6 linked regions of the Macaca mulatta genome follow. The protein of the gene in region 4 interacts with the protein of the main gene of each other region in a biochemical or structural test. Links are inferred from orthologs where the notes say so. Each region holds a gene or a part of one and is shown on either strand. Other genes may lie near its edges.

Region 1 (4,080 bases), on a different chromosome or scaffold from region 4:
GTAGACAATGACATTTGTGGAGGCAGACACCTCCACAAAAATAAATAAGGTATATTCTCATATGTATATGTGTCGTCGGGAATGATAATACTGGTAGGTATGTCAAGCATGAAGAGATTCTACAAAAAACAGGAGCGAGCAAAAAGAAACTGGCTCACACACTGAGTCCTTTCTCTTCTGCCCCATTTTGTCAGAGGGACTTGATGTACCCACTACATATTGGTCCCGAATGTGCTGAGTTCAGCAGATGTCTTGACGCTAAGTCATCACAACGACTGCTTAGGAACCCAGTGGAACTCGGGTGAAGTTAAATAAATAAAGACCAGCCCTCTCGAGCCCCTCCCAGAGTTACTGCATTTCTCCTCTCAAGGAGCCTGGAGTCCCAGTGGGATGTGAAGAGCCTCACCTCCCACAGCCTTTCAGCAGCTGGGAGAGGTCGTGATGGGACTCTGAAGGTAGCTCAGCGCACTGTTCGTGGAGTGGACAGGGATGGAGACGGGGAAGTTGAACACAGTGGTGGTGGAGGTGCCTCGGTCGAGCACAGCCATGGCGGGGCTCCCAGCCTCTGCCGAGCAGTGTGGGGCCAGCACCTGGGACTCAAACTGCAGCAGCTGGCCCATGAAGCTGAAGTTGGGGGAGATGATGCTTCGCCTCTGCTTCACAAACTCAAAGGCCTCGTCTAGCTTGACTCGGTTAGTCCTCATGAGGTAAGCAAGGCAGATAGTAGCTGACCGGGAAATGCCCGCCTGGCAGTGGACAAACACCCTTCCTCCAGCATTCTTGATGGAGTCTAGAAAACAAAAGGAGCGGCTGGTTACTGGAGAGCTCAGGAGAACCACCCCAAGCCCAGGTACAGTGTATCTGAGAAAGGTCATGTGTGTCTTGTCTAGAAATGGTCAACATCACCACACGCCATCACATGGCTACTGTTCATGGAAGCAACTTGGGCACTGCGCAAAGGATGGCACAGGATTTAAACTCAGACTGGGGATTTCCACTCAGCAGATAGATCTCACACCAGTCAATTCAACTTTGTGAGCCCCAGTTTGCAAATCTGTAAAGTGGGACATTGAATCAAATTCACATTTTGCAGGAATGTTGCCCACACCAGACTGATACTGAATGTCTGGAAGAAGGCTCATAAGACTTCAAGCTCTTGCCACAGAGGTTGGGCTTAGGGGCTAAAATGAGAAGAGAGAGGCAGAAAAGCCCCAGGCATCCATTCCATTTACCTATGAAGTCAATGGCCTCGTTGAACCAGGAGCTGATGTCTGCCTTGTGGTTGTCCTCCACAGGGATGCTCTTGTATTGGTAGTGACCCTCAAAATGGTTGGGACAATTGGCTGAGACGTTGATCAAGGCAGTGATGCCCAAGGCATCCAGCATGTCCTTGCGGGAAGCGTGATAGGCACTGCCCAGGTACAGAAAGGGCAGGATTTCCACCGGGCCACCCTGAAATCCAGAAATATCCAACATTCATCAAGCTCGCTCAAAGCCAAGGCCAGTGCCCACACCCACAAAAACTTTCTGCTGGAAAAGTCAATTTCAGATAGCGAGTGAACTCAGTTCTGTTGCTGGAGGATAAATAAATAGGGAACTAAGCCCATTTGCCTGGGCAGGACCAGCAAATTCATTTCTGTAGAGCCTACAATCATATCCCTGTGTCCCCTCCGTTATAAATAATGCTGCAGGTCACTTTCTATATTCTCCCTGGCACCACTCCTCCGTGCCTTTGCCAGTTCTTACTTCTCCCCTGTGGCAGGGACACCTACTAACCTGATCGTAGAGTGGGGTACTGCAGGAACTGCACCCAGATTCCGCGCTGTCAGGGACGCTAGTACTCAGGGGAAGGCTGAGCCCCATGGGGGTCGACTGTTTGCTGCACAGCTCCGGGCAGGAAGCCGAAAACGCTTCGTATCCTCCTGGGAATACAAAGACATTTTTTTTTTCCTCAGTGACGCCGGGACAGGGCACCTTCATACGACTCCCCCACCCACCAAGGGCTGGAAGTTTACAGCGGAAAGGCCCAGGCAAGTCTTTGTTCCCAGAGCCAAACAAAGCCAATGACAAGTTCCAGAGATAAATGTACTCCAGCGCCCACGCGCTGCAGGTGGGGCGACCCCCCGGGAGCCAAGAGCCGAGGGTACCGGGCAAAATCTCAGGGGTGTGCGGCCCGCCCCGAGCTTCCCCGAGGGCGTACCTTTGAGGAAGAAGACTTGCGCGGCGCGCGCCTCGCGGCAGAGCGCACCGGCCGCCAGAGTCAGGGTGCCGTCGCGCCTGGCGCCGTCCAGGGCGGCGCTGCGCTCGTCCAGCAACACCACGGCGTGGTAGGCGCCGGCCAGCAGGCGGCCGCGCAGCTCGGCGTTGGGCACGATGTGCTCCAGGCCCATGGCGCCCTTGGCCCGGCGCCGCACGATGGTGCTGAAGCGCACGTTGACAGAGCCGGCGATGTGGCCGGCGTTGAAGGCGAAGAAGGAGCGGCAGTCCAGCAGCAGGCATTGCGCCGCGCGCTCCCTCAGCAGCGCCCGCAGGCCTCCAGCGTCCAGGGTGCCCACTTCCATGACCATGGCCGGCCTCAGCGCCCCCAGCGTGATCAGCCCTGCGGTGCTCTTTGTCCTCGGGGCCAAGGGCAGGGCGGCGCCTTTCGAGGAAAAGCTAGACCCCCGGGTCGCTCTGCGCCGAACCAAAAGCTGCTTTTGGACTGAGAGAGGAGCGTCACGCGGGGCTCTGGGCTCCTCGGCTTCTTCGCGGTTGCCCCGACTGCCCCTTCGAACCACGTCGCACACACAGCCCGAACGTCCTTCGCAGCGAGCCCTATCCGGGGAGCTCGTTTATATGAGGCCTCTGGGCGACGGGGCGGGCCTGACCCGCGCGCAGGGGGAGGAGGGTGTTTGTTTGAATGGTGATCACGTGACGGGGCGGTGACGTCACCCGCCCTGCCCGGCCCGGCGCCGCCGAGCTACAGGGGAAGACGTCATCAGCCTCGGAGCTGGGTCCGCTTGCTGCGCGCTGGCTCGCGGCCCGGCCCCCGCCCTGCCGTCCGGCCTGCTCTTGGCGCGTCCCCAGGGACTGGGCCCGCGCCGCGCTCCGGGCCCAGCGGGGAGGCGGAGGGCTCGCTGCCAGCTGAGGCTGACCTCTGGGATGCGAGCGGCCGGGAGAATGGGCGACGTGCCACCTGCCTTGGCCTCGCCGCTCCTCCGTCTCTCCCTCCCCGAGTCCCCTTCCCCGTGCCCCTCGGCCTTCGACCTGAGCCGAAAGGGGCTTCCTGCGCTTTTGCATACTCTTGTGCCCCTTTCTCTCATTTCCTCATCACTAACAGGCGGGGAAACTGAGGTTCCCCAAGCGAAGCTACTGACTTGCCCAGAACCACACTACTGGGGTGTGGGGTGGGGCGGCGCGTGGGGCAGCACAGAGGCGCCTAAGATGAAGTTTGGAGAAAAATGAACAGCTCTGCCGATAGAAAAGTCGTTCCTACCAAAAACGACTCGAGCGAGTTGGGGCGGAGAGGTTCAGGGCAATGCTTTCCTGTTTCCCCGACTTTCTTTAAGGTGGCTTTAAAATATCTACATTTGCCATGAAAGTGTAAGCGAGCAAACCCCCACCGGGAAATAATGCTATTCCTAGTCTGTGGCCCCTGGAAGACTTGGAGCCAAGGAAGGCAGGTCAAGGGGCTGAAATCCCGGTCGGGGGTCGCAAGGCCCCGCGGTGGATTCCCGGGTTTGGCGTTTGGAGGGGTGAGGGGCGACCCGCAGCGCGACTCGACGGCTCCCCCCAGGGGCCGCCCGACACGTTTCTGTCACCTTGGCTCCAGACCGAGCTTCTCCATCCCTTTATTACACAAATAGGCAGTATACTGAGTGAGCGCCCACTAAGCGCTGGGCTGGGGGGCTCCAACCCGGAACAGAAGCCGGCCCCAACCCTCGCTCCCTGTCGTCGCTTCCGTTATAGGCTGAAGGCAAAATCCAATCCCGGGCCGTTGTGGGCGGACTGCCAGGACATGGATCGCAACGCTTGGGAAGACCCCCCGCCCCCAACGCCCAGCGATATCCATGCCCTGAGTCCCAGTGACGGCCCCCTGGA
Region 2 (3,500 bases), on a different chromosome or scaffold from region 4:
ACCAGGACCAGAATCCACTTGGCAGCACTGAAGACCCTCCCTGAAGACTGAGATATAAAGGCATCAAAAAGAGCTTGAGATTTTAAGAAATGGCAGACCTCGGCCTTGCCCTTCACCCACCAGTGGCTCATACCTAAGCGCTGCAGACTTTACCTGCACACCTCTAGACTCTGTTCCTTTCTAAAGATACAGAAAGAGGATACCAAACCTCTCTGGTACCAGCCCAACTGTCCCTCCTCACCCCTCTGTCCCTGTCACACCTGTCCTTTTGTCAAACTTGAAGCAGCCTCCAGGGCCTTGGGGCTTCACCCAGGACACTTGTCTGCCAGCCCCACAAGGTACATCCAGGGCTTTCTTGTCACCAGTTGGGAAAAGCAGGCCTTTTGCCTCTTTCGCCTCTCGCCTCTCGTCCTGCTCCTGCTGTTCAGCCAGGTTTCCAGCCTGGCTCACGGTCAGAGTAGGGGACAACAAAGTTCACTTTTCAGGGGTGAGCAAGGCAAGTTGGTGTGGGAAGGGATGTTATCAGGTGGCAGGCGAGATGGCTCAGGGAGAACTACCCTGGGCATAGACAGGTGGGGACCAGGGGTATGAGGGATGTCACCCCGGCGCCTCCCCAGGTGTTCCTGCACGAAGCAACTGTGCGCCTGATGGCAGGAGCCAGCCCCACCCGCACCCACCAGCTGCTGGAACACAGCCTGCGGCGGCGCACCACACAGAGCGCCAAGCACGGTGAGTCCACCACTCCCCAGCTCACAGGCTGGGCTGGGCCCTAACCCCTGGGAAGAGAGGAGGGAAGGGGCCAGCCCAACTCCCACACCTGGCAGCGGTGCCCAGCACACCTCGCCTGAGAATGAAAGAAGCCTGGGGCCGCCCTTGGTGGGCTGCAGGGGTTGGGGTGGTCATGGGTCATGCTCTGCTCAGGGAAGGAGGGTTGGGGTGGCGTCCCCACACAGGCGCACGCATCGAGCCAGGTCATGTGGGTCCATCTCAGTCCCACCATGGGCTGGCTGTGAGAGGCTGGACAAATCCACTTCTTTTCCATGGATTGGGTGGGGCAGCAGACCCCACCTCCCAGGATGGGTGTCAGTGTTCAGTGAATGAGTCTAGATAACGCCAAGGAACAGCACCGGCTTCATGGCAGACTCTCGGTTCTGACACACATCTCCTTCCCACAGGAGAGGTGGATGCCTGGCCTGGCCAGCGAGAGCGGGCCACCGCCATCCTGCTGGCCTGCCGCCACCTGCCCCTCTCCTTCCTCTCCTCCCCGGGCCAGCGGGCAGTGCTACTGGCCGAGGCTGCCCGCACCCTGGAGAAGGTGGGTGACCGGCGCTCCTGCAACGACTGCCAGCAGATGATTGTCAAGCTGGGTGGTGGCACTGCTATTGCCGCCTCCTGACCACCAGGCTCAGCCCACCCCTCCACTTCTCTCTCGGTTCCTCTCTCCCCCAGCATCCTCCCACTGAGAGAGGTGGGGAGGAGCCTTGTCATCTTAGCTGTCACCTGCCGAGGCTTCTGGGCCACCTCAGGCCAGCAGGCCCCTGGGCAGAGCCCCTTAAAGCTGCTGTCACTAGATGCCCATGGTCCAGGGCCTGGTGGGCATAAGAGGAAAGGTAGCAGGGCAGAAACTGGGCAGCTCTGACTTGATAGCAGCAGGGGGAGCTCCCAAGCTGCCAAGCCCCTGCCTCCAGCCTTCCTGAGTTTCTCTCTCCTGAACCCTACTCTCTCCTTTTTGCTTCCTCAGTTTTTATCAGGCTTCCTCTGGGGGACAGCAGTCTCTGAGCACCAGGGAGCAGTTGCCCTCAGGCCCGTGCCCGGCATGCCCTCCCCCCTTTTTATACCAATGTTTTCTACCAGTGTGCTTGGGTTTGCCATGATGCGAGGCTGAGTTGCTGTAGCGTCTTGATTCTCTCCCTGGGTCTACGTTCCCTCCCCTGTGGCTGGCTGAGCCTGCTCATTGTTTTTCCTTTTATTACACAGGACATCCAGGGGAGGAGGGGGCCCAGCCCTGGGAGGCTGGTGGGAGGCAGGGGGTAGGCCTGCAGATGGATGAAATAATGTCAGCATTTTTTAATTTTTTAAAAAAATAAATGGTATCTTATTTAATTGTCCTGTTCCTTCCCACTCCCCGCCTCCTAGGATGTCAGCCCAAGCTCAGGTTGGGCCCAGGGAGCTGGGAGAAATGAAGCCACCCATTGGGACTGGGGACCAGGTGCCTTCAGCATGGCTTCTAGGTTCCCTCCTCCCCTACCCCAGCTCCCACTTCCACAGTACAGACTGTCCCCAACTTAACAATGGTTCAACTTCAACCATGTTTCAACTTTACAGTTGGTCTTTTGGGGTATTAAATGAATTTTTTACTTATGATATTTTCGTTTATGATGGGTTTATCAGGAAGTAACCCCATGGTAAGTTGCATATCTGTATATTTTTATCACTAATTCTTGACCCAAAAATAAACCAGGGCGGCAAGGACCAACCCCTAATCCCTCCCCAGCGGCAAGCCCTTCTTTTCAGAGTGGGCAGAGGGTTGCCTATGGTGGGCACTAGGAATGAGGTCCCCTGCCTTGATGTGTGTCCTAGGAGAAAAAGTCCTACTTTTCTGGACCCCCTGGTGCAGCACCTCCCAGAGACTGTTTCTCCCAGGGCCTCCTGAGTGACAAGGGTCCTGCCTCCCTGTGCCTCGTCCTCAGGCTGGTTGTAGCAGAGGATGGGCAGGTGCCCCAGCACAGACTGGGGGGTGCTCACAACAGGGCCACCTCGATGCAGGCTGGAATGTTGTCCCTGGGGTGTGCTTGGACCCCACCTGCTTGCTTTTTCTCCTGCCCCTCCCCTACTCTCACTGTAATTTATGGACCCTGCCCACCTGCGTGTTGTGTGTATGTCCTGTGCCTTTTCTCACTGTTGTTTGGGGGTGGGAGAGGGTGGTTTTTCACTGAAAAGGGGGATACACCTATGGCTTCTTTGATGTTCAGTCAGTCACCGTGTCCCAGACATAGGTTATTCAATAAACACAGATTGGTACCACCCAGCACAAGGTGTGTGAGGGTCTGTAGTGCGACTGCTGTGGTGTCCAGCCAAGGGGCTGCGTGACTTGGCAGGCAGTGGGCCAGGGACTGAGGGCAGCCCCCCAACTGCTGAGAGGGCCCCTGGCCTCAGTCTAATGGGCCTCCCTTGCCCACCTTCTGTGCGGTGCCTGGCACACCCTCCAGCCTGGGATAAAAGGGCTGTGGGTGGCACTTCAGGGGTCACAAGTCACTGTATCCAGGTTCCAGCTTGTTCCCTGGATGTAATGCTGGCTGGCTGACAGATTTGGGGTGCTGACCATCTCCCCCACTGGGTAAGCTGCTCTTTAGTTTCTCCCTCCCTAAAGGCAGTGACCCTCTGAGCCAGGAGGCTCACTGGCCCACAAGTCAGATCCAAGTCCAGGTCCCGTGCTTCCCAGCTGGGTCACCTTGGGCAGGACCTGGCCTCAGTCTCCACTTCCACTTGTGCAGAATTGG
Region 3 (3,500 bases), on a different chromosome or scaffold from region 4:
ACTTTGCATGCCCAGTGCACACAGAGCCTACTGGAAAAGGGGCCAGTTCAACCTCCCATTCCTCTAAGCCCAGCCCAGATGCCACCTCCTCCATGAAGCCTCCCTTGGTTTTCCCAGCTGGAAGTGACTGCTCCCTCTTGAGCATCCTCAGCCATCCCACCTAGCTCTCAGTGATGGGTCCCTGGACCCCACTCCCTGTCGGAGGCCAGCATGTTTCTGTTGACTCACTTAGCCACTCATTCTTGGAAGCATTTATACTTGGCATTAGAGCCCATGGAATTCTTCATCACTTGCTCATTAATCATTTGTGGTGTACCTACTATGTGCTAAGGAGACGGACAAGGAACAAAGTGGACCCAGCCTGTGGGCAGGCTTCATGGAAGAGAGGACACCATGCCAAGGACGAGGTGGAGTTTGCCAGAGGACCGGGTAGGGAGAGGCATAGAGAACTTTTCAGACTGAAGACCCAGCACACCTGGACTGAGACAGGAGGTCAAAAAAAGAGAATGTTCCTAGGTTTTGGGAAGTGGAAACAAAGTCAGAGAGCTTGAAATTCCCTGAATGAATGACCAATTGATATTACATGAGAACAACAAAATCCTTCCCCTTCACTCAGCCTATGTCTACACAGGGTGAGGAGCTCAGTACAGCTGGAGTGGAGGGCGTGGGCAGGGTGGGGGGTGACAGTGACCGGCAAGGACCATGAGGGGCCTGTCAGCAAAGTCTGCAGATACTCCCACAGTAAAGCTTCTCTCTGAGCCCTGAGCGTGCACTGTCCAGTGGTCTAGAAAATTGTGTTTACTGGAAATAATTCAGACGGTGAGGTTGCTGGGCCCAAGAATCATCAGAGTAGTAGAGCCAAGGCTGATCACACCTCATGGGGGTCCCCTCCGCTGGGAGGGTTTGGGGTGGGGAGGGAGGAAGAGGCTAAGGGAGGAGCTGAGAGAAATAGCTAAAAGCAGAAAGGGAGAAAGGGCGAGTGGCCCAGCCTGCTCAGCTGATGTCTGCTTTGTGGCCTTCTAGGGTTTCTTGCTGTAACGCCTTGGTGACTGCCAGCACCTTGGTAGTTCTCCTTCAGTCTTACCTTACCTTTGGGGGCTGCAGAAAGTGTTTTTTAAGTGGCTGGAAGATTTGGCTGGGGGGGCTGTGGTTTGCTGACTGCCAACCTAAGCCGACCACAGCTACCCCTTTTCCCCTTGCCAGGCAGTCACATGAATCTCTAGCCAATGAGATGTGAGGGGAATTTCTGGGAAATGTTTTACTTGTTCTTAAAAAAAGAGAGAGACCAGGCATGGTGGCATGGGCTTGTAGTCCCAGCTATTCAGGAGGCTGAGGTGAGAGGATTGCTTGAGGCCAGGAGTTGGAGACCAGTCTAGAAAATGTAGCAAGACCCTGTCTCTTTAAAAAAGAGAGAGTGGCTGGGTGCGGTGGCTCATGCCTGTAATCCCAGCACTTTGGGAGGCCGAGGCCGAGGTGGGCGGATCATCTGAGGTCAGGAGTTCGAGACCAGCCTGATCAACATGGTGAAACCCAATCTCTACTACAAATACAAAATTAGCCAGGCGTGGTGGCACATGCCTGTAATCCCAGCTACTCAAGAGGCTGAGGCAGGAGAATCACTTGAACCCAGGAGGTGGAGGTTGCGGTGAGCCGAGATCGCGCCATTGCACTCCAGCCTGGGCAACAAGAGTGTGACTCCGTCTCAGAAAAAAGAGAGAGAGAGAGAGAGAGAAAAGGTGGGAAGAGATAGCTGCAGTGTCTCATCTGCTGTACTTTGTCCTGCTTGGATGTGGTGACCGGATCCCATCTTGGGACCAGGACGGGAGCACCCAACACTGAGGTGGCAGAAGAGAGAAAGGGAAAGGGCCTGGTCCAGATGCTACCACGGAACTGCTGAATCAACCAGCCCCTATGCTCTTTCACCTCAGGACTTCCTGCCATGCACATGAACACATGAACACGTCTTCCTCATCGTTACAGCTGTTCGAATGGGGGATGTGTAAGCAACTGGAAACCAACCTCCAGCCAAAGTGCAATCAAATGCAAGGACCCTGGGGCTGCCACGGTGTGAATGAGTTGCACATCCTGTGACACATGGGGCCACTTGACAGGCAGCCAGGTGAGCAGAGAGAGACCTACAGCTCTGTCATTCACCCCAGAAGATGGGAAACAAGGAGGTTTCCAAGAAGACACCTGTTGTGGGCCTGTTTTCCAGAGGGATAGTCTAGTCAAAGCTGCCTCCCATCTTTTCCTGGCGGGAGGTCGCTTACCATTCTTTTGAGCCAAAGCCTGGTCGATGAAGTCAGCAGCCCTTTCAAAGTAAGCGCTGAGGTTGAACTCCTGTGTGTCATTGGCCTTGATGCCCAGGTAGGTGATGCCGGAGTCCTTGTAGAAGTTGGCATTGGTGTTGACGTGCATGAAGGACCTGCCCTCAGCCGCGTTCAGAACATGGGTGATGCCTAGTTTCTGCAGCTTGGGGATATCCTGAGCCACAGACCTGGACGGGAGACAATGGTGGGGATGATTAACCAACCAAATGGCAGCCCCAGGGGGAGGAAGATGAAGGAGGATTTAAACCTCTTGGCAAAGCAAGGAACCCCTCCATGCTCTGGCCCCTGCCGGCTTCTCCTGCCTCAACTTATGACCTCCTCCCTGACTCTGGCCATATCGAATTGCCAGCAGCTTCCCCAAATAGACTGGTGGTTTCATAGCCATGCTGTTCCCTCTGGAATGCTCTTTCCCACCTTTTCTGGAGAAATGCGCCCTCTCATCTTTCACACCCTCTGCAGTGTTTGTCTCCCCTCCATTCCATTTGGCCCCATGCTCCCTAAGCTGTGGTGGGGGTGTACATAGCCAACTGGTTACAAATGGGCTCTGGAACCAGACTAACTGGGTCTGCACCCAGCCCAGGTACTAGCCAGGCAACCTTAAGAAGCCATTTAACCTTTCTGTGCCTCAGTTTCCCTCTCTGTAAAATGGGGATAACAGTGCCTTCTCCCTGAGGTTCTTATGAGCATTAAATGGGCTATTCCGTTGACAGAGCCGGACATGGTAGTGAGCACTACAATTCTAATGCTTGATTGTGCTTCTGTGTTTAGACATCCAGGCTTTGAGCTCCTTGAGAGAGGAACCATGTCTGCTTTAAGTCTGTTTCCCCACCACCTGCTATAGTACCTGCCACATAGTAGGTGCTGAATAAATAAGTGGTGAATGAGTGTAGAAAAATAAATTTGTCACGCGCCAGGCAGCCCCCTCCCTGCCCCCTAGAGGGATCCTACCTACCACCTTCCACTAGCTACATTTCCAAAGCTCTTTTGGGTGATTTAGTACTTGGGGAGTAAGTGGCCCCAACAGAACTATGGGAGGTTACAAAATAATTGATCTAAGGCTGGGTGCAGTGGCTCACACTTGTAATCCCAGCACTCTGGGAGGCCGAGGCATGTGGATCACCTGAGGTCGGGAGTTCGGGACCAGCCTGGCCAACATGGTGAAACCCCGTT
Region 4 (3,934 bases):
GAAGTGGACAGCAAACTAGGAAAGCAGTATCAGGGGAGGACAACAAAGGCTAGGCTGTCCCTCCCTGGGCAAGGTGCAAGTCCACAGGTGATTAGGGTGTGGCTCTGAGTGAGAAGTCCTAAGAAGGACAAGTTTCCATCTGGGGGAGGGGAGGAGGAGACAGCAACAGAAACACTTGATTTTAGGTTTTCTGGGCCTCAGCTTCTTCATTTTTTTTTTTTTTTTTTTGAGACAGGGTCGCGTTCTGTCCCCCAGGCTGGAGTGCAGTAGCACAATCATAGCTCATTGCAGCCTTGAACTCCTGTGCTCAAGCCATCCTCCTGCCTCAGCATCCCAAGTAGCTGGGACTACAGTCATGCACCACCAAAGCTGGATAATTTTTAAATTTTTTGTAGAGATGGGGTCTCACTATGCTGCCCAGGCTGGTCTTGAACTCCCAGCCTCCACTGATCCTCTGGTCTTGGCCTCTAAAGTGTTGGAACTACAGACGTAAGCCATTGCACTCTGCCCTCATCTTTGAAATGAAGCTGCAAAGCCTATCTCATAGGGTAGTTGGGAGGTGTAATAGAAAAAAAAAAAAAAAGCATTGGGCATGTATAGTACCTGACACGCAGTAGGACCTCAAGAAAGGCAGTTTTTTTGTTTTTGTTTTGTTTTGAGACAGAGTCTCACGCTGTTACCCAGGCTGGAGGGCAGTGGCACGATCTTGGCTCACTGCAACCTCCGCCTCCTGGGTTCAAGCGATTCTCTTGCCTCTGCCTCCCAAGTAGCTGGGATTACAGGCATGCGCCACCACGCCCTGCTAATTTTTTTGTACTTTTAGTAGAGATAGGGTTTAACCATGTTGGCCAGGCTGGTCTCCAACTCCTGGCCTCAGGTAATCTGCCCACCTCAGCCTCCCAAAGTGCTGGGATTACAGGCATAAGCCACCATGCCCAGCTGACAGTTTGCTTTCTCCCTGTCTCCCTTCCAGTCTGGGGAAGGAGGAAAGAGAGGAAAGAACCATCCATTTGTTAGCAAGAAGTGACTGTGGGCAGAAGCTGGGTCATGTCTCAGAACTGCCGATGTCAGAAGACAACACTCCCATAGAGACCATCCTGTCTAGCCCTCCCCCTTGGGGCACAGAGCAGAGAACTGACTTGCTCAAGGCCATATTGCCCGGCTGCAGCAGGCCTGGGTTCATCAGAGGCCTCTAAGTCCTGTTACACTGTGGCTTCTCCTCTGCAGGAAAGTTTATTTTACTGGGTTTGTTTTGGAGGGTGGTGGGTAAGATGGAAACAGAAAGCAAGCAACGGGTCCCCAGCCCAGCTCCGAGGCTGTGTATGACCAGCCGACTGGGCAAGGTGAAGGATACACATCCCTCATGGCTTCCAGGGTGGACGCACGCAGAATGTCTCGGATGCCGATGACATTCTCATGGCGGAAGCGCAGCAGGATCTGGATCTCCCGGAGCGTGCGCTGGCAGTAGGTCTGATGCTCGAAGGGGCTGATCTTCTTGATGGCCACGCGAGTCTTGCGCACGTGGTCATAGGCCGAGCTGAGGGGACCGGAGAGAGGCTGCTGCTGTGGCCTTACAAAGGGGGAGTCCGGGCCTGGTGGCCCCACCCAGGCCTTGGCAGGGAGGGGAGAGAGCAGGAGCTGGCTCTGGTCAAATCATAAACAATGCTGGTTCCTTCCTGCTGTGTAGGGCTGGGATCTCCAGAGAGAAAGCTGGGGACCAGCCAGGCGGCCCTTCGGTGACTTTACAAACAGAGGAAGAGACTGACCGCTCACTGACTTCCCCTCTCCTCAATCCCCTTCCATTCTACTGGCCCTGAACCCTTCGCCCCCATTCCCAGGAAAGGTTCCTTAACCCAAGACAGGTCCGGGGGTGCAGATGCTGGGGGCACACCATGGAGCAAATACTGGGAAAACGGCAGCCAGGGGAGGGGCAGGAGAGAATGGACAGGGCAGGGGCGGGTCCTAGGGTGAGGGAAGCGGGCAGCAGGGCTGTCCCAGAGCTCACGGTGGGGCCGGGGGCACTCACAGACCCCTCCCAAAACATGCAAGTGGCACTCCTGGCCCCCTCATCTCTCTTTGGGCACCTGGTGGTGGTGGTGGTGGGGCCAAAGCCCTGCCCCACCCTGATCTCGGCTCGTCTACCCCAGGCTCCCTGGCACTGCCTCACAGGGGGAATCCAAAACACCCTTTCCCCCAAAACGGGCCCTCCACTGCCTCTTCACTAAGGATGTCGCCTCCCCGAGAGTACTCATCCTCTGGGCCTCGCCCCGTGTCACTAGGGTCCCCGCGGGCCCCCACATGCACTCAGATGCCCCTCCCATCATTACAGAAGGGTGGACTCAAAGCCTCCAAGCCCCCTCCCCTGAGGACGCAGGCAGCGCCCTCTCCCCTAGAAAGCACTCAGGGGTCCCCTCCCTGGGACGCTCCCGATCATCCCGAGTCCCCTGCCTCCTCGGGACGCTCCGCGTCTCCACGTCCCGGAAAGCGCTCGGCGCCTCCCCCTCCTCTCCTGTGAAGCCCCCTCCCCTGAGGGCGCCCCCTCCCCCGGAACGCCCCCTCACCTGACCATGCCGTACGCGCCCTCGCCGATGTACTGCAGCTGCGTGTAGCGCGGGCCCACGTCGAACGGCTGCCCCTTCACCATCTCCACCTCCCCCGGGACCCCCGGGCCGACCCCCTCGGCTCTCCGGGGCTCCCCACCCCCGCCCCCCTGAGCCGCCGCCGCCGCCATCTCCACTCCTCCCCTCCCGCCGCCCTCCTCCCCCCGGCGGCCCCGCCCGAGGCCCCGCCCCTTCCCGCCCGCCTGTCACCCGCAGGGCCGCGCGCTCCAGGCCCCGCCCCTGCCCCGGCCCCGCGCGCCCCCGGCCCCGCGCGGGCCTGGAGCCGTCACGTGACCCACCCCGGGCGCGCGCCCGCCCTTCTCGCCCTAGGTGCGGGAGCCCGGGGGTCTCTGCTGGCTCCGCGGTCACCAAGTCACGGGGAGGCTCGGCAGCGCCGCCTCGGAGACTGTCCTCACCCTCCTCTCGAAGGCGAAGCGGCCAGGGCGTGACCTACCAGAGCCACCCAGCCAATGTGTGCGGCAGCCCACCAGAACCTGGGCCCGAGATCACCCTAGGTTAAAAAAACTGTTCTAATAAATGAATCAAATTTTACAGATGGGGAATCTGAGAGTTGGGCTAACTAACTTGAGTAAGGTCACTAGTAATGACAGAGCTGAGACTCAAAATGATGTCTTCTGACAGAGGCTCTTTTTAATTCCATGCCTCTCAGAATCCTAGACTGTTTTTATTTTATTTTAGAGACAGGGTCTCACTCTGTCGTCCAGGCTGCAGTGCAGTGGTGCAATATTTACTGACTGCATTCTCAACCTCCTTGGGGTCAAGTGATCCTCCTACCTCAGCCTCCCAAAGAGCTGGGACTATGCGTGCGCTCCACCACGCCCTGCTAATTAAAAAAAAAAATTGGGGGACTGGGCACTATGGCTCACGCCTGTAATCTCAGCACTTCTGGAGGCTGAGGAGGGCGGATCACTTGAGGACAGAGTTGGAGACCAGCCTGACCAACATGGTGAAGCCCTGTCACTACTAAAAATACAAAACTTAGCTGGGCATGGTGGTGGGCGCCTGTAATCCCAGCTCTTCAGGAGGCTGAGGCAGGAGAATTGCTTGGTACCCAGGAGGTGGAGGTTGCAGTGAGCCAAGATTGCACCACTGCACTCCGCCTGGGTGACAGAGCGAGACTCCATCTCAAAAAAAGAAAATATAATTTTTTTTTGGTAGATACTGGGTCTTGCGATGTTGTCCAGGCTGGTCTGAAACTACCGACTTCACAGGATCCTCCCACCTCGGCCTCCCAAAGCTCTGGGATCACACCTGTCCATCTCAGACTGTTACAACTGAAGAAAGGGCCCTCGGAGATCATCCAGTCCATCCCC
Region 5 (3,500 bases), on a different chromosome or scaffold from region 4:
TGCTTCTCTAGGTTGGCCATCATCAGTTTTCCCTTCCTTTTGTCCTTCATCCTCCGCCTGTGCACCCCACAGCAGCTGTCCTGCCATGGCCTTAGCCTGAAAGTGGGGGTCCCTGCAGATGTCAGCTTTCCCTCTGCATCTGGGCATCTAAGTCCTTTACCCCTCAAGACCACTGCTGGGCCTCCTTCTCCACCATCTCCTCTTTTAGTGGCCTTGCTTCTCTCCTGCCAAGAAAAACAGGAATGAAAAAGTCCATTATCCACTTTGGTCTGCTGGTCCTTGACTCCCTGGGTCGGTGAGACTTGTCTTCTGGGACTGAAGGAGAGGTAGCCCAGTGGCCGGAGGGAAGATAGCTGAGGGCTGTGACTGAACGTGAGGTGTGGAATCTGGCTCAGAGCCCCAGCCCTTCCCTCCAAACATCTGGTAGATAGTCAGGTCTAAAGGACAGGAAAAGGCTGAAGGATGCTTTTTGGCAATAGCTCCTAACTAAGGTGGGTGGAGGCATGGCCATTACTGATAAAAATCACAGCTGGGCCCCGAGTGGGCAGAGAAGGTGCCTTGATCAGGCCCTCACCTCCCAGGGGAAGGGTTCAGGGTCCCTGATGTCAAGTGCTTTGAAGGCTGAGACTGGCAGAGTAGAGAGGAGGTGAATGGAAGGAATAATGGGAGAGGGGAGAGGGGTAGGGGAGATGTGAAGGGCCAGCTCTGGAGACGCTGCCTCCTGGCCCCTCCCTGGGCTCTGCGGTGGCCCTCTCGTCACAGCTTGGCACCCTTGGAAGGCTCCGAGGACTGCCGCACGTCTGTCCACTCCTGCATGGTGTTCTGCAGGGCCTGGGTCTTCTCCTTGTCCACCTGAACATAGTCCACCTTCTCATCAGAAGTGACAGATGAAGTAGATGGCTGAGGGGACAGAGTGGGAAAGAGGGAGTAGCTGTGAGTTACCAGTTAGGTGGGGAGGAAGAAGATGGGCGTGGGATCTTCCTGAGCTGTCTGAAGGGGAGAAGAGCATGGCCTCTGCCTGCCACTGACCAGCCTCAGGAGCCTGGCTTCTCTTTCTGAATGTGGGCTTTAAAGCTCAGACTCCAAACTCATTATCCCTCCTGCAGGATGCGGCAGCCCCTGCCAGCCCTTCTTACTTCCCGGCTCCTGGGACGACCCAGGCCCTTCCTTGGCCCTGGTGGATGGGTCCAGGCCTTCATCTCTGCCTCCACCCATCTCTGTCAGGTTGCTCATCCAGGGGAAGGACTTTGCTGGGTGTAAACAAGCACCAGCCACAGGACTTTACGTGCTGTGCTCACCGCCACCCTGTGAAGGGGAACCATGCTGAGGCACAGCTCTGCACCCTGCTGTCTAGACTGCTTAGCTAAGGGTACCTCCTGGGGAGGCTTTCCCAGGCCTGGAAGTCCCTTGTGAAGGCTGATGTATTGACGGCAGGGCTCTGGGACACACCTAAGAGCCCAGGACCAGGAGGCAGTATCCTCATTCCTGGATCTGTTGCTGATTCACTTTGTTTAGCACAATCAGATCTCTATGCACTCATTTGCCCATCTCTACAACACGGGGGGTGGGCTGACTGATGAGGTTCTTTGAGGGTACTGTGCTCTGAGAGCAGGAATAGGAGTCTTTAGACCTAGGTGAAAGCTCTGACTAAAGATGCATCATAAAAGCTAGGTACTGGAGCAGGAGGGAGGCTGAGTGCTGCTGTTCAGTGTTGAAGGCACCCTGACCTCCATGATCTCTGCCTCTGGGGCCCTGAGAGCTCTTACTGTCCCCCCAACCTCTACTCCAGGCACCTTGCGGTGGGGGCTTGGGGAGCTCGGCTGGAAGTCCAGGGCCAGATAATCGACGCTGCCGGTGCTCTTCTTAGGGGCAGGACTGTTGGTGCCACTGGGAACGGGAGATGCAGACACTGGGTTTTGCTGTCACGAGGAGGAAAAATCCGTGAGTGTAGAGAACAGACTAACCCACCACCCAGAAAAATACCTCTGGGAGTAAGAACACTGGTTCCCTGAGCCCTACTCTGACTCATGCATCATGCTAAGGACTTTTCATGTTCTCATTTTAGTCCTCATGACAATCCTGTAATGTAGGTATGATTACTGTTGATATTGTTTAAAACAAATATGAAACTGTGGTTCACTTTACTTTCAGAGAAGTGACTTTGCCTGTAGTTGCACAGCTGCTGAGTGATGGGAATCAGGTCTATTTTCTGACTTCCAAACCTGTGCTAACCCCTGTGCCACACTGTCTCCTTTATAGCACATCAGGCCAAGTCTCATCAACAGGGGCTCTCCTGAGACACCCAGCCTTTGCTTGCTGGCGCTTAAGAAGGGAGCACATTTCCTTTATGCATTGGAAAGTTTTCTTCTGTTGCACCAAATCAGCCCCTCTGAAACTCCCACCTGTGGCCTGGAGTGGGGTAGTCACCCCAAAGCAGCTTGCTCCCCCACCTAGCTCCTCCAAGATCTGAACAGGCTTTATCTCCAGGCTGCACAAAGCCCGCATTTCTTCAGATGACACACTCTGGGATCCTGTCCATCCAGACTCCTGCTGTAGCAAAGCACCACCTCCTCTAGGACTTTCCTGAAGTCTTATTCTAATGAGAAGGTGATAGTCCTGTGTTCTGTTTGTTGGCTGCTTTATTGGTTGGTAATTCATTCTTTCACTGTCTATGCACAGTGACTACCAGGTGCTGGGCAGTTATGCCCTTAATGGAAATCTCAGGGAAGAAATATCCTCCTCTGCCTGTGCTGATAGCTCTATTACGGCCTCACCAAAGTGAGTTATGTGCATGTATGCCTCTCACCGCTGAGGAGATACCTCCAGCACTGACTATCCAAGGGCACACAGATCCTGCCACCTGTGTCACTGTCATGAGAGAGGCAGGCCCCTGCCCTTGAAGACCATGACTTCGTTGGGACAGGTCTCATGTCTTCCTTACATCTGATGACAACTCCTACTGCTTGATAAATAGGTGCTCAAGAAGGGTTTGTAGCAGGAGACTAAATCATGAATAATACAAGGAGTCCCTGGGCAGAGGTGAATTAGCTAAGCTGGGAAGTGGGGAACTGAGCGGTGGGTCCCAGGGGACTTTGATAGGAGTCATTCCAGCGAAGCCCGAAGGACTCACCATAGGGACGTAGTTCTCTTCGCTGTCTCCTGAGTCTGTGCTGGTGATGCTCTGGGTGGAGATGGGGCGGCAGTACTGGGAGGAGCTGGAGTTGAAGGTGTGGCTGTTGTGGGAAGGAAGAATCAACACTGGGGAAGCAGCGTGGCTGCTGCCCTGTTTCTAGCCTACAGCTGAGCCCTGACCCTCACACACCCAGACCTCAGCCATTAGAGCTGCACACTCCATCAGATTAAGATCTGATATAGGGCAAGTATAATTATTCTCTTTTATAGCTGAGGAAACCAAGCCACAAGAGATCAAGAGACATGATCAGCTAATGATAGCGTTAGCATCAGAATCCAGCTGTCCTGGCCCACAGGCCAGCTACCAT
Region 6 (3,469 bases), on a different chromosome or scaffold from region 4:
GTTGCTGGTTCAGAGGAAGGTAAATTTTTGAGAACCACTGTTTTAATGAATGAGGATGATATCCCTCAGATTCCCACCTGCTTCAGGTTGTCTTACCCCAAGTCCCCTGTCCCATAGGAGGACTTGCCCCAGAGGAAGCCCTACTTCCTTGATGAAGTCCTATGTCCTGTTGGAGAACCTGCTCTGATGTCCCCAGTACCAAGTGCCACTTTCCCGGGGAAATCACTGGGTAGCCCACAGGAGAATCCTGTGGCCCCAACAATCCTTACCCTCTTTGTACCTGCTCCTCTCCCAGGTCATCCTGACTCCGCCCGAGGCCCCAAACCTGAAATCGGAAGAGCTGAATGTGGAGCCAGGTTTGGGCCGGGCTTTGCCCCCAGAAGTGAAAGTGGAAGGGCCCAAGGAAGAGTTGGAAGTTGCCAGGGAGAGAGGGTTTGTGCCGGAAACTACCAAGGCCGAGCCAGAAGTCCCTCCACAGGAGGGCGTGCCAGCCCGGCTGCCCGCGGTTGTTATGGACACCGCAGGGCAGGCGGGCGGCCACGTGGCTTCCAGCCCTGAGATCTCCCAGCCACAAAAGGGCCGGAAGCCCCGGGACCTAGAGCTTCCACTCAGCCCAAGCCTGCTAGGTGGGCCAGGACCCGAACGGACCCCAGGATCGGGAACTGGCTCCGGCCTCCAGGCGCCTGGGCCGGCGCTAACTCCATCCCTACTTCCTACACATACATTGGTGAGTGCCTGGGGAGGTGTGGGATGGGTGGGTGCCAACCCCAATGGGACTGGCATGTGGCAGGTGACTAACGGGAATCAGAGGAGGGCGAATGTGGTTGTCCCTGAAGAGGGTGGAGCCTTCGAGTGTGATTGACTGGGCTGACGCTGGACTGGAGGGATGGGGTTTGATTAGTGAAGGGCAGGGCTGCGGACTTTTGTGGGTGGGACCAAGGGGCTTTCTGTGGGACTGTTTCTGGGTTGGGGTGTGGCTTAAGGAACCTGAGCAGGGCTTTTTGGTCTGGGATTTGCATATGGGATTTCACGGGTGGGACATGAGTTAGAAGTTGACCCTGAGCTGTTTGGATGGTGACTTGAGAGGTTTGAGAGCAGCATTTGGATAGGGTCTTGTGGGTCGTCTTGACCAATGAGGTCTCTAACTGAGGGTGGGCTCTCGGGAATAGGGAGTGGGGGGTGTATACGGAGTTTGAGAGATTGTAGGCATGGCCTCCATAGTTACCATCTAGGTGTGTGCACTTTGGGGAGTGACCCTGGGAGTGTGAGTGGGAATCTGTGGTGGGGCTAGGCCCAAGTCCCTTCCAGCATCCCACATCTACTCTCTACTCACTTGAGCTCCGACCACCCTCTCCCCACAGACCCCGGTGCTGCTGACACCCAGCTCGCTGCCTCCCAGCATTCACTTCTGGAGCACCCTGAGTCCCATTGCGCCCCGTAGCCCGGCCAAGCTCTCCTTCCAGGTAGGATCCTCTTTCCCCATTTTGGACAGGGTGACAGACCCAAGAATGGCCCCCATCTGTGACCTCTCCCTCTTTTTACCCCCAGTTTCCATCCAGTGGCAGCGCCCAGGTGCACATCCCTTCCATCAGCGTGGATGGCCTCTCGACCCCCGTGGTGCTCTCCCCAGGGCCCCAGAAGCCATGACTACTACCACCACCACCGCCACCACCACCACCCCTCCTTCTGGGGTCACTCCATCCATGCTCTCTCCAGCCAGCCATCTCAAGGAGAAACATAGTTCAACTGAAAGACTCATGCTCTGATTGTGGTGGGGTGGGGATCCTTGGGAAGAATTACTCCCAAGAGTGATTCTCATTATCTCCTCCACAGAAAACACACAGCTTCCACAACGTCTCTGTTTTCCGTCAGTCCCCCAGTGGCCGCCCTTACACGTCTCCTACATCAATGGTAGGGGCGGTTTATTTATTTATTTTTTGAAGGCCACTGGGAGGAGCCTGACCTAACCTTTTAGGGTGGTTAGGACATCTCCCCCACCTCCCCACTTTTTTCCCCAACACAAGACAATCGGGGTCTGGCTTGAGAACGACCTTTCTTTCTTTATTTCTCAGCCTGCCCTTGGGGAGATGAGGGAGCCCTGTCTCCATTTTCAGATGTGAGTAGAAGAGTTAGTTTGTTTTGTTTTATTATTCCTGGCCATACTCAGGGGTCCAGGAAGAATTTGTACCATTTAATGGGTTGGGAGTCTTGGCCAAGGAAGAATCACACCCTTGGAATAGAAATTTCCACCTCCCCAGCCTTTCTCTCAGACAGCTTATCCTTTTTCAACCAACTTTGGCCAGGGAGGAATGTCTCTTTTCTTCTTCTTCCCCCTGAAAAGCCATTCCTTTGTCTGCCAACCTCCCTGGGGTCCTGCCTGTTTCCTCCCAATGGAGGGTTTTTTTGCGGGGTGGTCCCCGTCTGGGGGGCCCCTCCAGCCAGTTCTCCAGGTCTCCCTGTCTCTCCCCCGCTGCCATTTTGATAGTATAATCTATTTTTAAATGGGGCTTTTCAATAGGGGAGAGGGAGTCATCTCTTCCTATATTTGGTGGGGTGGGTGGGAAGGAAGGGATTTGGGGGGGAATCTTCCTGCCGCCTCCCCCCTCCAAGTGTTTATTTTTGATACCAAACGTGTATTTTCAGTTCCCTCCCTCCCAGCCCCCCAATTTCCTGCGGGCGGGTACAAAGGACCCTTTCAATGTCCCTGGAGTTGGGAGGGAGGAATGGGGGACATAAAGCCTGTCCTGTCTCTATTCTAGGCAAGAGAGAGCGGGTTCAAAAGACTCCCGGGCTCACCTGTTAGCGCTGGCCCAGCCCAGGCCTCGGGACCTGGGGGTTGGTGATTTGGGGGACGGTGCTACACTCGTCTCCACTGTTTGTTTTACTTCCCCGAAATGGACCTTTTTTTTTTCTAAAGAGTCCCAGAGACTGGGGAATTGTTCCTGTAAATATATATTTTTCAAAGTGATGCTGGAGGCTGCTGGCACTTTTTCTCTGATGTTGTAAGGACTAGCTGAGTGTGACAAGCATGACTGTGTGGAAGGCGTGAGGCAGAGGTTGATGGTGAGAGAAGTGGTGTGATGGCGTGTGTGAGAAACAGTAGTAGGGACTGCATATTGGTAACCGTGTGTGTCAGAGATGTGGAAAGCTGTGATTGTGTGTGAGAGAGTACAGAAGTTGTGACCACAGACTTTTGATGGTGTGTCTCTGTGGGAAATCGCGGCCGTGTTTCAGAAAATAACTGAGCCTGGACGAGTAGTCAAGGTACTGTACAAGAACCTGTGATGGTATGCACAAAATAATATCTACGAGAAGAGAGTGGGGACTGCAGCCCCATCAGTGTTTGATGGTGAGCAAGACAGACCGAGTGACCCAAACCGCATGTGAGAGACTACGTGGGCATGAAACTACAGTAGAGGTTGTCAGGGATTGTGGCAAAGATTGTATAGGTGACAAACCTCATTATAGG

The links.
Region 1: of the proteins of MAPK3 (region 4) and DUSP1, one has a biochemical effect on the other in vitro, tested with the Homo sapiens proteins (2 studies listed by BioGRID and IntAct). The link is inferred for Macaca mulatta from reciprocal best matches to the Homo sapiens genes MAPK3 and DUSP1.
Region 2: of the proteins of MAPK3 (region 4) and SREBF2, one has a biochemical effect on the other in vitro, tested with the Homo sapiens proteins (2 studies listed by BioGRID). The link is inferred for Macaca mulatta from reciprocal best matches to the Homo sapiens genes MAPK3 and SREBF2.
Region 3: of the proteins of MAPK3 (region 4) and DUSP3, one has a biochemical effect on the other in vitro, tested with the Homo sapiens proteins (2 studies listed by BioGRID and IntAct). The link is inferred for Macaca mulatta from reciprocal best matches to the Homo sapiens genes MAPK3 and DUSP3.
Region 5: of the proteins of MAPK3 (region 4) and GAB2, one has a biochemical effect on the other in vitro, tested with the Homo sapiens proteins (2 studies listed by BioGRID). The link is inferred for Macaca mulatta from reciprocal best matches to the Homo sapiens genes MAPK3 and GAB2.
Region 6: of the proteins of MAPK3 (region 4) and ELK1, one has a biochemical effect on the other in vitro, tested with the Homo sapiens proteins (6 studies listed by BioGRID and IntAct, with this or other methods). The link is inferred for Macaca mulatta from reciprocal best matches to the Homo sapiens genes MAPK3 and ELK1.

The regions. Positions count from the first base shown.
Region 1 is NC_133411.1:181,644,710-181,648,789, forward strand, and holds the start of DUSP1 (dual specificity protein phosphatase 1), read right to left. Parts: upstream 2,801-4,080; 5' UTR 2,568-2,800; coding exon 2,201-2,567; intron 1,923-2,200; coding exon 1,777-1,922; intron 1,453-1,776; coding exon 1,233-1,452; intron 791-1,232; coding exon 420-790; 3' UTR 1-419. UniProt on the Homo sapiens protein: Dual specificity phosphatase that dephosphorylates MAP kinase MAPK1/ERK2 on both 'Thr-183' and 'Tyr-185', regulating its activity during the meiotic cell cycle.
Region 2 is NC_133415.1:9,594,597-9,598,096, reverse strand, and holds the end of SREBF2 (sterol regulatory element-binding protein 2), read left to right. Parts: intron 1-485; exon of another isoform or gene 486-572; coding exon 573-729; intron 730-1,175; coding exon 1,176-1,396; 3' UTR 1,397-3,028; downstream 3,029-3,500.
Region 3 is NC_133421.1:68,123,872-68,127,371, forward strand, and holds part of DUSP3 (dual specificity protein phosphatase 3), read right to left. Parts: intron 2,498-3,500; coding exon 2,271-2,497; intron 1-2,270. UniProt on the Homo sapiens protein: Shows activity both for tyrosine-protein phosphate and serine-protein phosphate, but displays a strong preference toward phosphotyrosines. Specifically dephosphorylates and inactivates ERK1 and ERK2.
Region 4 is NC_133425.1:28,437,172-28,441,105, reverse strand, and holds the start of MAPK3 (mitogen-activated protein kinase 3), read right to left. Parts: upstream 2,801-3,934; 5' UTR 2,732-2,800; coding exon 2,562-2,731; intron 1,538-2,561; coding exon 1,355-1,537; intron 1-1,354.
Region 5 is NC_133419.1:78,647,259-78,650,758, forward strand, and holds part of GAB2 (GRB2-associated-binding protein 2), read right to left. Parts: intron 3,234-3,500; coding exon 3,131-3,233; intron 1,920-3,130; coding exon 1,794-1,919; intron 901-1,793; coding exon 757-900; 3' UTR 1-756. UniProt on the Homo sapiens protein: Adapter protein which acts downstream of several membrane receptors including cytokine, antigen, hormone, cell matrix and growth factor receptors to regulate multiple signaling pathways.
Region 6 is NC_133426.1:47,658,531-47,661,999, reverse strand, and holds the end of ELK1 (ETS domain-containing protein Elk-1), read left to right. Parts: intron 1-295; coding exon 296-727; intron 728-1,361; coding exon 1,362-1,463; intron 1,464-1,548; coding exon 1,549-1,647; 3' UTR 1,648-2,969; downstream 2,970-3,469. UniProt on the Homo sapiens protein: Transcription factor that binds to purine-rich DNA sequences. Forms a ternary complex with SRF and the ETS and SRF motifs of the serum response element (SRE) on the promoter region of immediate early genes such as FOS and IER2.